Linked DNA regions of Astyanax mexicanus. The protein of the gene in region 2 purifies or fractionates together with the protein of the main gene of each other region. This does not show direct contact. Links are inferred from orthologs where the notes say so. Each region holds a gene or a part of one and is shown on either strand. Other genes may lie near its edges.

The links. Proteins that work in one complex are often made in the same cells at the same time.
Region 1: the proteins of zeb2b (region 2) and mta2 purify together in Homo sapiens (affinity purification with western blotting; 3 studies listed by BioGRID and IntAct, with this or other methods). This does not show direct contact. The link is inferred for Astyanax mexicanus from reciprocal best matches to the Homo sapiens genes ZEB2 and MTA2.

Annotation. Positions count from the first base shown.
Region 1 is NC_064415.1:31,199,482-31,206,737, reverse strand, and holds the start of mta2 (metastasis-associated protein MTA2), read right to left. Parts: upstream 3,364-7,256; 5' UTR 2,951-3,363; coding exon 2,923-2,950; intron 1-2,922. Other genes in the region: eml3 (echinoderm microtubule-associated protein-like 3), read right to left, coding at 5,490-5,720, 6,940-7,070. UniProt on the Homo sapiens protein: May function as a transcriptional coregulator. Acts as a component of the histone deacetylase NuRD complex which participates in the remodeling of chromatin.
Region 2 is NC_064412.1:34,804,914-34,812,627, forward strand, and holds the start of zeb2b (zinc finger E-box-binding homeobox 2b), read left to right. Parts: upstream 1-4,519; 5' UTR 4,520-4,840; intron 4,841-6,448; 5' UTR 6,449-6,577; coding exon 6,578-6,650; intron 6,651-7,714. UniProt on the Homo sapiens protein: Transcriptional inhibitor that binds to DNA sequence 5'-CACCT-3' in different promoters. Represses transcription of E-cadherin. Represses expression of MEOX2.

The DNA.
Region 1 (7,256 bases), on a different chromosome or scaffold from region 2:
AATTCAGTCAGTGCCACCTTATTAACTCCTTCAATACAATCAAGGTATAGAACTCTGTTACCCAGCCCAAGCTAAAGAAAGACAACTGCAGTCTGAGGAAGACGATTTTACATTTACTGAAAAAGCAACGCCACAGAAAAAGAGAAAATAAAAAGAACAGGATTCAAGTAAACACTGACTGAGCTGTAGAGGCACACTTCAGAGCAAGCACAGTCGCTCGCTCAACATGAATGAACAGCCTGTTGGTTCATTCACTCGACTCGAGCTCACAGAAATGCAACACCACTCAGACAGACAGTAGCACAGCCATTCATTAAAATACTGTTCACAAAATTCAGAAGTGTTACTAGGTCCATATAGGTATAAAAAAAACTAACATGTTCAGGTTTTTAGGCAAAAATATGATTATTGAAGTGTGTTAAAAAGCCTTGAACAAACAGATCTCTAAATAGTCCACACAACAGATCACAAACATACACAATTTAAAGCAAAGCAGCGTGTGTGTGAAAAATGGTGATTTTACAAACCCTCTTCCTTCCCACTTTACACTCCGCCGGCTCTTTGATCACTGACAGTGGTGCACACTATAGACGCCAAAGGGGAGACCCTCATGAGAACTGCGCATCAGCCATACAGATAATTTCCCCTCAAAAACATTCTTCTTCTATTTTTTTAACTGTTACACCAGTAAAATAACCATCAATTTGAGCAACAATGCTCTCACTGAAGTGCTCCACAGAATCAGACAGGAGCTGTGTGGATAAAGGTCCAAATCAAGAGAAGCAGGATTGAGTCTACGGTGGTTAACAGAATTGCAGCATCTTCATCATCACTCTGACTGACCTATTTACAGTCGCTCTTAGAGCTCCATCTACACATTTAAACACAATAAGTCAAACCGTGTTAAAACCCAGCAGTGGAAAGAACCTTGATGAAACCTGATAACCTGTAAAATGCTGACTACTCCTAGATCAGTTTGTGTTGCGTTGTGATAAGGGTTGCAGCAGTACCAATTAGGGGTGGGCGATATCGTCCTAAAATTTATCACGATAACGATACTCTTGGCGAAATGACAAACCACTGAATTAAATTTTTTTTTTCAAGAACACACTACTGCAAAAAATATATATTTTTATTGTATTATTTGATTCAATATGATATTATTATATGAAGTTAGGGGTGCACCATATTAAATAATGCAAGAATTTTTATCAGATTTAAAACAGAAGTCAATCACCCAGAATGTCATGATGCTAATAATGCACTCAAATACCTCCATCTATCCAGGACTAAAATGAATGAATGGTACTTGTTAAAAGTACTGGCTATATCACATTTAATGCTGACTATTCTTAAAGAAAAAAAAATATATATCAACTGATATGATACAATACCGATATTATCGTGCATCCACACTTTAACCATTTTCTGTAATCATAAAAATGTACAGTTTGGTCAGTGTTTTAGGCACTAAAGATATAAATCTTTGATATGCCTATTAAAGCATATGGTCAAGAAAATAAAAAAATGTATTACGGTCCAGTAAAATAATCACAGTATCGCCCAGTTGTAGCCAGCAGCGTGCTGGATGTGACTGTAGCTGTCAGACAGAGTACAGCTCAGATAAAAGAGCAGCTGTTCTGTCCTAAATCCTGCTCCCAGAGAGTTCAGCAGCTCGTCATAATGTTCATAAAGTGCTCAAGAATAAAGCCTGACAGGAGAGAAGCTGTGGGGTCCTGGACCGATTGCGCTCTTTCTCTTTCTCTCTGTGAGGCATTACTGTAGTACTGTGGTCGGGCTGTTACTATCGGTGACGGTGTGTTGAGTTTTCTAGCTCTTCAGCATTCAGAGTTACAGTTTACTCGCCTACTTGGACTGCAAACTGGTGTTTTACAATTTAACTCTCACTCAAAAAACGAGTAAATACTTATCTAGTTCCTGTTCTGTATCCAAGCGAAAATAACTGTTATAAGTTAGGCTTTAATACCTAAACAACCACAGGGCGCCGGTTAACTAAACGAACCTAGTTAGCTAAGCTAACTAACAATAACTAACGCTAGGTAACGTTAACTAAATAACTTAAGATACTTTATTAACCTTTTTCTTTAAAACTCTTTCCCTCTTTACTCTTATATTGGAGTAACGCTCTGGTAAACCGTTTAAAACAGATAGCTAGTTATAGGTTAGCTCGCCTGCTAACTAAACTTAGCTAGTTAAATAACTTTTCTTCTTAGCAATATATGCAATCATAGTTACAAAGTGCAAAACGTTATTCTTCACACAAATCTAACTTAATGCAAAAGGAAAATATGGAATACAAAAATAAATAAAAACAAAAGGAAAAAGGGGATCATATCTACAGCTAGAAAGATAAATCAGAAATATTTATTTTTATCTTCTTAATAACAATAATAAACTGCATCTGTGCATTTAGGATGCGAGATAGCTCCAACAGTGCAGCATGGGGGGAATTATAAGCTAAAACATCTGTTTATGGACACTGGATTTAGCAAAAGTAATACAATATAAAATCGTATTTTTATTCGCAGTATTAAGGGCGTTTCTCAGAGTAAGTAACAGTTAAGTAAACTGTAGTTTTGGAAAGAAGACTCGTATAAAAGTTAGTTGTAAAAGCTTTCCCAGAAACTCTGAGAAACAACACATTCAAAAATAAATGAAAAGCTAAAGCTAAGCTAAGCTAACGCTAACTAAGCCGGCCTTTGTAAAGAAGGCGGAAATAAAAAAAAACACGCCACCAAATGAGAAAAGGCGCTAGCACGCTAGTTAGCATTTAGGCTAACGAGTCGACTAGCAGACTATTAATCAGCCCGTTAGCCGCAGCGGCTAGCGTTAGCAGGCTGGCTAACCCGCTCGCACAACAATCCCCGTTTCGGCGGCGGAACCGCTGATTAAAACGCTCACCTCCTACTCGGTACATGTTGGCCGCCATTCTCTCGCTCCCCTCCACGAACTCGAGCCCCGGGATTCCCCTCCTCCTGCGCGCGCTGAAGCCGAGCGGCGGCGGCTTTAGTCCCGCATGTATCGGCGGACTCGGCGCTGGCGGAACAAAGCCGGGGAGCCGGCACGGTGAGCCCGAGCGGCGGCGGCGGGAGAAAAGTTCAAACTTTCCGTCTCGGTGAGAATCCGCGGATGTAAAACGCGCCTCCGCTCCGGTCCGGTACCGACACAGCCGCTCCGCTACCCCTCACCGGCCACTCACGCGCTCAGCCTCGCGGGCATGCACCTACAGTCATCGGCTAGCTAGCCAGCCTGTCTCTCTCTCTCACTCTCTCACTCTACTCTTCCTCCCATCCTCTGCTCTCCCAGCTTCATCCTCCTCTTCTTCACCTCCGCTCGGCTCACCCCTCCTCCCCCCTTTTCTTAAACGTCATCTTCGGAAGCGCGAAACGTCACCTAGAGCTCGGCCCGGTCTCGAGCTTCACCGGAGAGCCTGCTGTCTGATAGAACTAGCGAGTGAGGTATCACTTCACTTCTACAAAGAACTTAAATGTAAAAAAAGCAGTTTAAAGAAGAAAAAAGCAGATTAAAATAAATATTTCATGATTTACTATAGATGTGAATCACGTCCCCGCCTTTTCCAATTTTGTTTTATTTTTTATTTATTTTAATATATGTTACAAATATTTTTTATTAGACATTAATAATCCCCTATCTGTTGGAGCTCTCACACATTTCTATAGTCTTTTTGCAAACAAAAAAATCTCATTCGTATCCTATAAATTTGACCCCCTTGTCCCCTCTTTTTCCTTTTACTGTTTTTATTTTTCCACTATTATTTTTTTTCTCTTTATATATTTGAAGAATTGTGTATTATATGTTGCACATTTACATATGTTGCTAAGTTTGCAATCTAAAAAAAATATGTATGGAGAAGTTTCAGGCTTGAAACTGCTGCAAGCCTCATTTACTACAATACCTGTAACTGGTTACAATGTATTATTGAATTTGGAATCTATACATTGTGTCACAATTTCAATTTGACGAATTAAAAATTAATTAAAAAATTAAGCCTAAATTTAGTAGATAATATTTTGTATCTGAAATGAACAACAAGAAAAAACTGACTTCCACTGTACTTCCATCCATGCCTATATCCAGCTTCTTTTTGGTCACTGTGGCCGCAAAAATTTTAACTCATTAAAACCCATTTTATTATACAAGAAATATAAATATATTTCACCAAATTGAAAACATCTGGAATGTAATCAAGAGGAAGATGGATGATTACAAACCATCAAACCAAACTGAACTGCTTGAAATTTTCACCAATAGTGGCATAAAGTTATCCAAAAGCAGTGTTTAAGACTGGTGGAGGAGAACATGCCAAGATGCATAAAAACTGTAATTAAAAACAGGGTTATTCCACAAAATACTGATTTCTGAACTCTTAAATCTTTATGAATATGAACTTGTTTTCTTTGCATTATTTGAGATCTGAAAGCTCTGCATCTTTTTTTGTTATTTTAGCCATTTATCATTTTCTACAAATAAATGCTCTAAATAACAAAATTTTCATTTGGAATTTAGAAGAAATGTTGTCCGTAGTTTATAGAATAATACAACATGTTAATTTTACCTATAAATAGCAATGGTCTCTATTTTTTCCCAGACTGTATATTTAGTTATTAAATCAGTGAACAGTAAATTTGGTTAAATTGATCTCTGTGCTCCTACCGCCCCCTTTTGGTTGCAGGCCCACAATGCACTGTTACAATTTCACCTTGGTCCTCTAGAAGGCGCTGTGTGATTCACGCAGCGCTCGAACGCCTCCTGATCCTTTTTGTGATTTGTAGTTCTCAACTTCAATTTTTCTATACAGTTACTGTCTATTACAGAATAGATAATCTAAGAAAAGGAAGGACAGTGTTCTCAAAATCATTCAGTCATATTTCAGTTAATATATAATACATACAGCAGACTCAGATGGTTTTGGTTTAATAGTGTGATGACACACAAACACATTTATTAAATCATAGCCAGACAGCGCACAGAGAACAAACTGAAGAAACAGTTCACATCTACAAATCAGCAACAGGTCAGTAATGTAAACATGTACTGCAACGAGTAAAGGGTGATAAATGAAAGACTTGCTTTGGAATGACCATCTTGAGATGATTGTCTATAAAGGCACGTACAAGCCTTTCACATTCCAGAATTATCAACATAAACGTAACGTAATGTTAATAAAGTCAAAGTATAAGATCAGTTTACTTTACATAAACATAAGCTGTTTGACACACACACAGACACACACATCATTTGTCCTGTTGTCTATAAAATTGGAGTAATATAGTAACATGTAAACCTGATATAGTGAATGTTGATGCAACACTGACTTCCTTTTTGGCCATGAAAATCTGTTAAAGACCACCATAAACATTGCATCCTCTCAGCACAGTCTTCCTAATGCTGGATTTACTCTAGATTGTGCAATACCATATTCTTCAACATATTCTTTGTCACTCTCTTCATCCCATCTCTTTCTCCTTCTGTTTCCCAGGTTCTGAGGAACTGTTAAGGGAAGTGGGTGGAGGAAGTGAAGAGGTTGGGTGTTCCTTTTCTGCAGCCCCGCTCCTCTTGACTCGCCACTGGAGGATGCATGTGTCCTTCCCACCCAGTGACAGAAGGTGACTGTCGCAGTGGGTGAAGCGTACGTTGGTCACATGACTGCCATGGCCCTCATACCTGTGACTTGGTGCCTAAAAAAAAGAAGGGAAGGAATCGTCTCAGAAGAAAACATTTCACACAGCCACACGACTAAACTACACTACCAGTCAAATGTTCCATGAAAATATCCAGACTATGAAGGAACACACAAGGAATACTGTACTCTGTGAAGCATTTAGGTGACTCTTATCTGAGGTATTGGTACCTTGCAGTTTCTGAGGCTGGTAACTCTGATCAACTCATCTGTGCAACAGAGGTAACTTTTTGTCTTCCTTTTCTTGAGTGAATACTTATTTTAAAAGTTCTTAATATTTTTCAGATTGACTGTAAAGTATCTAGAACATTACTCAAATATGGCTATTTATTGTATACCAACTCTACCTCCTCACAACACAACTGTTCTCAAACACATTAAGAGTATAAGTAATGAACTTTTTAGTTCAGAAAAGCTATTAACTTAAAGCCATTCTGGGTGACTCTACCTCATAAAGCTGACTGAGAAAATCCAGCCAAGATGTGCAAAGCTGTCATCTAAGCAAGAGGTGCCTACTCTAAAGAATCTAAAATATAAAACATATTCTGGTTTGTTCAACACTTTTTGTTTACTCAATAATTCCACATATTTTTCTTATAGTTGTAGTTTGTAGGACTTATAATGCATAAAATATTTAGAGAATGAATCTAAGGTGTGTTTAAACTTTTGAATGATACTGTATATGTATGGGAAACCTGAATTTTTAAAAATAATATCACTTTTGTGTTCATAAGTAAGAAATATTGTATACTTAGTATTTAATGCAAACTCACAGTAAACTGTTGTAAACTGAAAGTAAATCCAGCTTATTTGATAAAATCACATGTCCACATGTGGACACCCCTTTTAAAGAATGAATTCATGTACATTGCTTCCATTGCTGACAAATGATGATCAACACATGCCCCCCATCCTTAACTTCACCTCTAGCCCTATCTATTGGAGATACTGCTCTACAGTGCTCTAGTTCCTGTAGAGCAGTGTCACCAATAGATTAAGGCTCTGGAGCAGATTAACATGGGGGGGCACGTGATGATCATCCACCTCCTTGAACTCACTAACGCTTTATAACTGAATGCAAGAAAATTCTTACATAAAAGCTACAAAATCTAGTAGAAAGCAAGAGAAACTATTTTTAAGTCACAAAAAACAGGGGCCCAATACTTTTAGTTCCATTTGTGATACCAAAGAAATTATACTGTAAACATTATACTGACCTTTGGTTTAGGACATGGATACTGGAATAAGTGGACTTTGCAGAAGTCATCTGCCACTGCCACTATTCGCTCGCTGTGAGAGCGACACAGAGCGTTGATATCGGTCCCATCCGAACCCTCCAGCCACACACCTGCACATTAAAAACATCAGAAAAGCACCCTATTACAATACATGCAGTACGTACGTATGACTTCAGCTGCTCTAACACGACTCAACTGGGTAATAAACTCCCTGCAGACAAGCCTGAGGCACATTTTATAAAGCATTAATACTGCATGTGTATAATACAGTCACCAGAGACCTGCTGTCATTATTT
Region 2 (7,714 bases):
AATAAGCTATATTATTCTGAATGCAGATTAATAAAACTCACAGAGTTTCATGTTGGAATGTAGAGAACATTTAACTTTGAGAGTAAAGTAGTTAATGTAGGGTAAAAATTAAACTGTGGGCCTATGTACAGGTTTAAGGGGTTAAAGGTTTAAACTCTTAAACGGATGAATCATTTAAGACTATATACTGTCAGTATTTCTGTATTTAACTGTACATTAACCTTAAAATTGATTAAACTTAAAACTAATATTACAGTACATTACATTTGTACATCATTTATCTCATTTATCATTATGCCATTTATTATTTACAAGGTGTGTCACGGTATATATTTAGTTTTCAGCAGAGATTAAGGGGTTAAAATGATTCCAAGATGACTGCATAAAGAATGTGTAAAATGTGTGTGTGTGTGTGTGTGTGCATATGTGTGTGTGTGTGTGCATATGTGTGTGTGTGTGTGTGTGTGTGTGTGTGTGTGTGTGTGTGTGAGAGATGGAGAGGGTGTGTGCACGTGTGTGACAGAACGAGAGAGAAAGAAGGAGAGAAAACACTCTGAGGATGTTCTCAGAGACAGGAAATAACTTTCCCCCCTCCCTCTTTCTCTCTCTCTCACACACACTCTCTCTCTCTCTCTAACTCTCTCTCTCTCTCTCACACACACACACACACACACTCTCTCTCTCTCTCTCTCTCTCTCTCTCTCTCGCGCTTGCTCTTTTCCTACCACCTGTGTGTACTCTGCTCCATCCCTGCTGCAGATGTGAGATTTTCTGGGACTTTCTCATGGACTTCCTTTTCTCTACTGGTTGGGAGAAGCCAAAGGGAGCAGGCACTGTGAGAGAGCACACACACACAGAGACATATATATATATATATATATATATATATATATATATATATATATATATTATATGTCTTATAAAACACACTTCCGGATGAACGCATACATCCACTTACTGTCCTTACTGCTGTTTTCAGTCTCTTTTCTCTTTAATAAATGAATAAATAAATTAATGAATGAATGTGAAACTATGTTGGAGCGACGTGAACAAATTTAGATTTACGAATAAAGATTTATCTCCAATGCCTGATCTGATAACATCAGATATTTATCTCCTGTGCCTTTTTTTAAAGAGATTATTCATTGGACGTGCTGCCTTAGGCACGGCACATTTACAAATACTAACTAGCAAAATAATGTAATAACAGTGCTATATTTAGGGCTACATGATATTGATAATGAAAAAAAATAATAATTATCTGTTGTTTTTAATTATGTATTGTGATATATTTCATATCTAAATAAATACAGGAGTTTGCACCAAATACACCAATGATTCAGCAGGTTGTGATATTAATAATTCCTTATACGTACTGAAGACTGAAAAAATGTACTGAAAAAAAAAATGAGCCAATATATTCAGCTCCAGGTAAACAGGTCAATATAAATTTTTGTGTTTTGGGATTGATTAAATTTGCGTTACATTCGCACATATGCAAGTCCTGCAATGTGAATACTGCACATGCAAACATTGTTATAATAATGATGATGATGATAATGATAATAACATTAAAATGATATACTATGCAACCCTAGCTGGAATAAGCTGTATATGTCTGTATGCCTTTATTGTGCTTCATTTCAGTCAGTTCAAAGACTATATTAAGAACAGAACAGAAGGGCGAGAAGACCGAGAAGACGACGACAGTCTACAAACGGGAATGTGAGGCGTTTACATTTGACAGACGAGACGTTTTTCCTCCGCTTGCTCTCAACCCTGCGTTTACAGTAGTTAAGCATGTTTAAGCATTCCTGAATACTTGATATTAAAGCTATTTTTAATATATTTTAGCTGTAAAAGTCTGTTTGATTAATGTCTGTCTATTGAGAATGCTGACTAGAGAACGTATTCTCGTTAAGGTGCCAAAAAAAAAAAAAACAACCATATTATGTAATTAACAAAGCTTTGTGTCTTAAAAATGGCAGTATTACAAAAAATACTTTTAATAAAAGTCATTTTGCTAGTCATTTTGCAGCATTTGTATTGGTTCACTCATCATGAAATATTGACACAATTTAATTTTGTGTTAAAAAAGGGGAGAAACTGTAAAAATGAGTATACAACCATAAATATGATTACATATATGTTTGCAGGCATTCTATAAATGTATACATAAAGCATGCTATTTCTGATCATAATGTGTATATAATGTGTCATATATAAATGTCAGCCAAATTAAGTCTGTATTATGCGACTCATCATACAAATAATAAAATAATATTACAGATGTGATTGCAAAATAATTATGATTTATTTATTTATTTAAACCTGATTAATCTGTTATCTGCTATTACTCGTTCGCCTGAATGGCAGCACTGTGCCAGACATTCGTAAAGGTGTCATGAAGAGATCAGGTCAAGCCGCAAAAAAAACCAATGAAAGTACACACATATATATATATACTCACAGGCACACACACACACACACACACAGCTTTCAGAGGGAGGGTGCTAAGGGGTGTCCTGTTTCCTCTCTTAAACCAGGAGGAGCTGCTGAGGTTGGGAGGTTGGAGGCTGTGTGCAGTGAGATCGGGGCAGCGATCAGCCTGACAGCGAGAAAACAGAGCAAAAAAGAGAGAAAAAGCAAAAAAAGAAAAGAAAAAGAAGAAAAATGTTTAAAACTCATATAAGCCTGAGATTTCTCATTTCACATTATATATTGTTATATAATGCAGCACCTCTCTATATGTGGTTAGTCAGTGTGATATGCATGTAATCCAGTACTTACAGTAAGTGTAGCTGCTTTCTGGGGATCCTCCAGAGCGGAGGTCTCTGCTGCTCTACCGGGACTGTGAAGCCTGAGGGGTAAAATAGTCAAACCCATCAGACTTATTTGATAGAAAAGACAGAAAACACAATAAAACTTGTCTACAAATTTGTTGAAAGTAGTAGAGCAGATTACACAGTGCCAGTAGGCTATATTTAATTAACATAATTAACAAGTATAATTTTTGTGTGCATACAACAGCAAAGAGCATATATAACAAATGTACTTAAAACAACATCAAAATGACTATGAATAATAAACAAAACAAAACAAACAGAAAAATATATATATATATATAATTATAATTATAAATTGTGAAGATTAAGTAAAAATATTTTTAAGCAAAATTAGGATAAATATTTTAGTGATAATAATAATAATAATAATAATAATAATAATAATAATAATAATAATAATAATAATAATAATACCTGTGAATTTCCTGCCTCAGTCCCGTTGACTGGAGCTCCCCCTCCCGCATCTGCCGCCTCCTCAGCTCCAGATGTTGAGGATGTTAAGGCACCTTTCCCGCCTGCGCCCCGGTCTGATTGGCTTTGAACAAAAGCATCAACTGATCCTGCAGCCCCGAAACCCCCCACCCCCAAAATAACCCCACCAAAACAAGCCCCCCACCCCCGCATCAGCCCCTAAATCTCCCCCTCACCCCCCGGATTGATGATTTAATTATCCCTCCGGTAGATGAGGACGGAGGGAGCGCTGCTTTATTTACCCCACCAATCCCATCCCCTCAGAAAAGGTGGGGCTTCCCAGTCTTCCGTCGGATTCTAGCGGACTACGAAATAAATAAATAAACAAATAAACAAAAAAAATAAACACATTTTAGAAACAGTCATAACCGGTTCATAACCACGCCCAGCACGGGCGCGTGCCCATTTTTTTCTTTTTTCACATTAGCTTAAAAATTCCCGTGTACATGTTCCTTTATGTGCTAAAACGGTTTAAAATAGATTAAAAATATTCTATCACCCCAAACAGAACAGTATTACTTTACTTCCAGCTTAAAAATAACCGGGTTTTTTTTGTTAAATCCATGTCGGATTTTGTTTTACCTGTTTCTTCTTACCTGTCACCTGGCCACCTTCCCTTTAAGAGCGGCGCGCGTGGCGCGAGCCCGAGTTGTGGCGGGAAATCCGCGCCGCTTCTGAGGCGACGACGGGTGAGGAAAGTCTGTGAGGGAGAACTCGGCAGCACAACGAGGCTTAAAACCGAATTAAAACACAAACCCCACCGAAAAAGACGACTTCTTTCCCTCTTTTTCTCGTGCCGGGGAAAACTCTGACTCGTCTCAGTCTAAAACCTCGTCCTTTCTGGTGTTTAAATCTTTTGTTATTAAAATATAGCTACATTTGTTTTGTGAAGATGTTCCTCTCCGTCTTCACGTTAGCTTAGCTTTACTTAGCGTATTTATTTGGAAAGGTAAAGCGAACAGGTCGGGGTTTGGTTTCTTTTGCCTGCCGCGCTGTAAAAAAACCGAACGGGGAAACGGGAAGGGGGAAAAGGAGGAAAAAAGAAAGCGAAGGAAAAGTTCTCACGGTTCCCAGAAGATGCTCACGTTTGGTCCTCCTCAATTATCCCTCCCCGTGAAGATAGGTGGCGCGTGTTTCAGCCTCTTCTCGCTCTCCCCCATTCTCTCTCTCTCACTCTCTCTATCTCTCTGTGTTACAGCAAAGAAAAGGAGAGAGAGAGAGAGCGAGAGAGAGAGAGAAGAAAAAAATGTCATTAGAGGAGGCGTAACACGTCAGTCCGTCCGCAGGTTGGTTTCCTGGAGTGGCTGAAAGGGATCAGTCCCAACCTGCGCGCCAGGAATAACGCTGCTCCAGCTACAGCCCGGGCTTTTTACCCTTTTTGCCACATTTTACCCCACGGATCCGCTTTCTTCCCCCTCTTCCAAAAAAAGCCCCGCCACGGCTGCTCTACAAACCCCCCTTTTTTCTTTCCTTTTTTTATATTCCTTGCAACCAGCTCGACTAAGACAAACGTAAACAACAAGGTAAGACTTGTTTCCTTCTCTCTTTAAAGATGTGCAATTTATAGGCTTCAAGACTTGGAATATGTATTTAGAAATAAAGTGAATATTTATATTTATAGATGTAGTTCAAAGTGGAAGATGAGAGTGGGAGTGCGCTGGAGAGATGCGCTCACCTTTAAGTTCACCTGTACAGGTGAACTTGAAAAAAAAGTGTGCTTGTCGTTTTTGTAATTATTCAATGGACGATTTATTAAGATCAGGATTTATTTATATGAACAACATCTGAATTCTTAAAAAATCAATTTTGTACATTTTTCCCATTATTGTGACTTTAACAAATTCAGTGCTGTATATGGATATTAATATTTTTTAAAGTTACTTCTCCCTTTGTTGTATGTCAAGCTATGAGGATGACAGATAAAACAAAAATAGATATTAATTGGTATATTTTCACAAATATGATGGGACAGTGAGTGGTGAAATCTAACGGTGCCTCGCGCCGTATGTTATCTTTGTACACTTAGTCTAAATCGCTTTTCCCTGCTCTGCCGTCCTATTACAAGACAAACTCCTGCAGCAGCACAATGTTTTAATGATTTTACTAAAATAGGACATTAGAATGAGGATGATGAAAAAAGTTTTAATTGTTTAAAATTAAAGTAGTCAGCAACTATTTATTTTGCTTTTAAGTGTTTGTACTTTTCAAAAAAACAAACACACAAAACAAACATTATAACACCCAAGCAAACAAATGGTTTATATTTTAGTGAACTAAAAAATAATAAAACATTATTAACAATAATGATTATAAGGTATAGCAAAATACGTGAAAATTGTACTAGCAATACTATCACTACTACTACCACTAGTACCACTAATACAGTTTTGTAGTAGTAATAATTGTAATAGACAACAACAAATTTAATTCATTAAAGTTTTTAATCGTTTTTTTTTTCTTAGCCAATTTTTTCCTTTACATTACAAAATACTTAATACTTTCCCAATGGTGTCTACATTACAGTTCACAGTTAACAGTAAACTGGTAACACCACAATTTCAGCACCAAATGTTATGTATATTTAAAGTCCATTTTCCACAAACAAGTCTAAGCGTGTAAATAATATCCCACACAAATTTTCAGCGTTAAGATCTCTCCTGTTTACCGGTCCTATGTGTGAATACACTTGTTTACTTGTTTTATCTCCTTTTATTTTGTGTGCAACAGTTTGATATATGTATAAATAAGCTCATCACCAGTCCCGGCTCTGAAAGCAAACTGAGACAGCAGTCTCCCTATAGTATTTAATACTATTTAATTCATGCCTACATTTAATTTAATACAGTTATTCCTACAGCCGTGCATGTCCCATTGAAGCAGTGGACCCCGCCACCACCCACCACCGGCGGTGTGTAGCTCCTAGCCCCCCGCAGCCCCTCACTCACTCACCCGCCCACGGTTTGGGGCACTTTCGTCTCCAACGTTCCGTTTTATTTTCTACGTTATTTCCAAGCGCTGATGCGGATGGTCCAAAATTTGCGCCTGTACGTACCTGCGCGTGTGTGCGCGCGCTTTTGCGCTAAAGAGAGCAGCGCCTGCATTGTTGTTCTGTGTGTGTTTGGTTTTGCCAGAGACTGAGGCTGCGCGCTGCTGACTGACTGACTGAAGGAGTCGCGTCCATGCGAGCTGCTGCCATCTGATCCAGACACACACATCCACACACACACACATCCACACACTCACACACACACTCCCCATCAATGAGGCAGCATATCATGGCGGATGGGCCCCGGTGTAAGCGGCGAAAACAAGCCAACCCGAGGAGGAAAAACGGTAAGCTGAATTTATTAAATAGTAGCTTAATAACACTGATAGTGGGCTGAAGAGCGGTGGTCGTGGTGGGACTGTGAGTGTCTCTGTGAGAGAAACAAGGAGTGAGAGAGTGAGAGCGAGAAAAGGAGAGAGAAGAGAGAGAGAGTGTGTGTTGATGGTCGGAGGGTGGGGGGTAAAGCTCCGGCTGACGGGACGCGCATGGACGCGCATCGCGTGATACCGTTATTTTGTTATTACCGCTGTGCATCTCCTCATTGTGGGGTTAAACGAATCGGTTTCAAAGGGAAAGCGAAGCAAAACCAGTGTTGTCCACCACTGGCAGAGCTTCTTTTGTGTAGATCTGATTTATTTTGAGGCGTGCTTTCAGCTCGCGCTGTTGGAAGTTGGAGCGAGTGGAGTGGAGGAAAAGTTTTGCAGCACGCGGCTCGTTTGCTTCACGCTACAGAATAAAAAAGCGCTTTTAAAGTTGCGTGTCAGTTTACGCTGTTGTAAGGCGCTCTAACGATGGCACTGGCGTCAATAGCGATTTGTATGATAATACGGCTGGCAGCACGCTCTCTTGTTTGTGGGAGGAATTATTTTAATAATAATAATAATTATTATTATTATTATCATCTGATACATCTAATAGCATCAGCGGTCGTTTTCGTTCATTTCATTTCGTTTCTGGCAATTATAAATTAAATTGGATATAGCTAGATAAAGCTCATGGAGTTGATAGTTATAGGAAAACACTTTTCTTTATAAATTGTACTTTTGTGTATAATGCTTTTTATGTTGCACACTTTTATTCCGTCGCTTTTCTCTTGTTATTATTCTAAGTGACATTTGAGCTATGGTGTGTTTTATCGTTTTTAAAAGAGTGTGTGCCTTCAGTATTGTGGTAGTTAAATCCTGCAATAAAGCCGCCTCACACTTTAATTTGTTGAGGGCAATGTGTAGCTAAAACCCGCTGTGTACAACTATGTACAACTGGCTTTAATAAAATTCTATATCGCTCCCAGTGTCCAGTGTTGATCAGCGTTGCCCAGTGTTGCTTAGTGTTGCTAGCGCTCGCCGTGTGT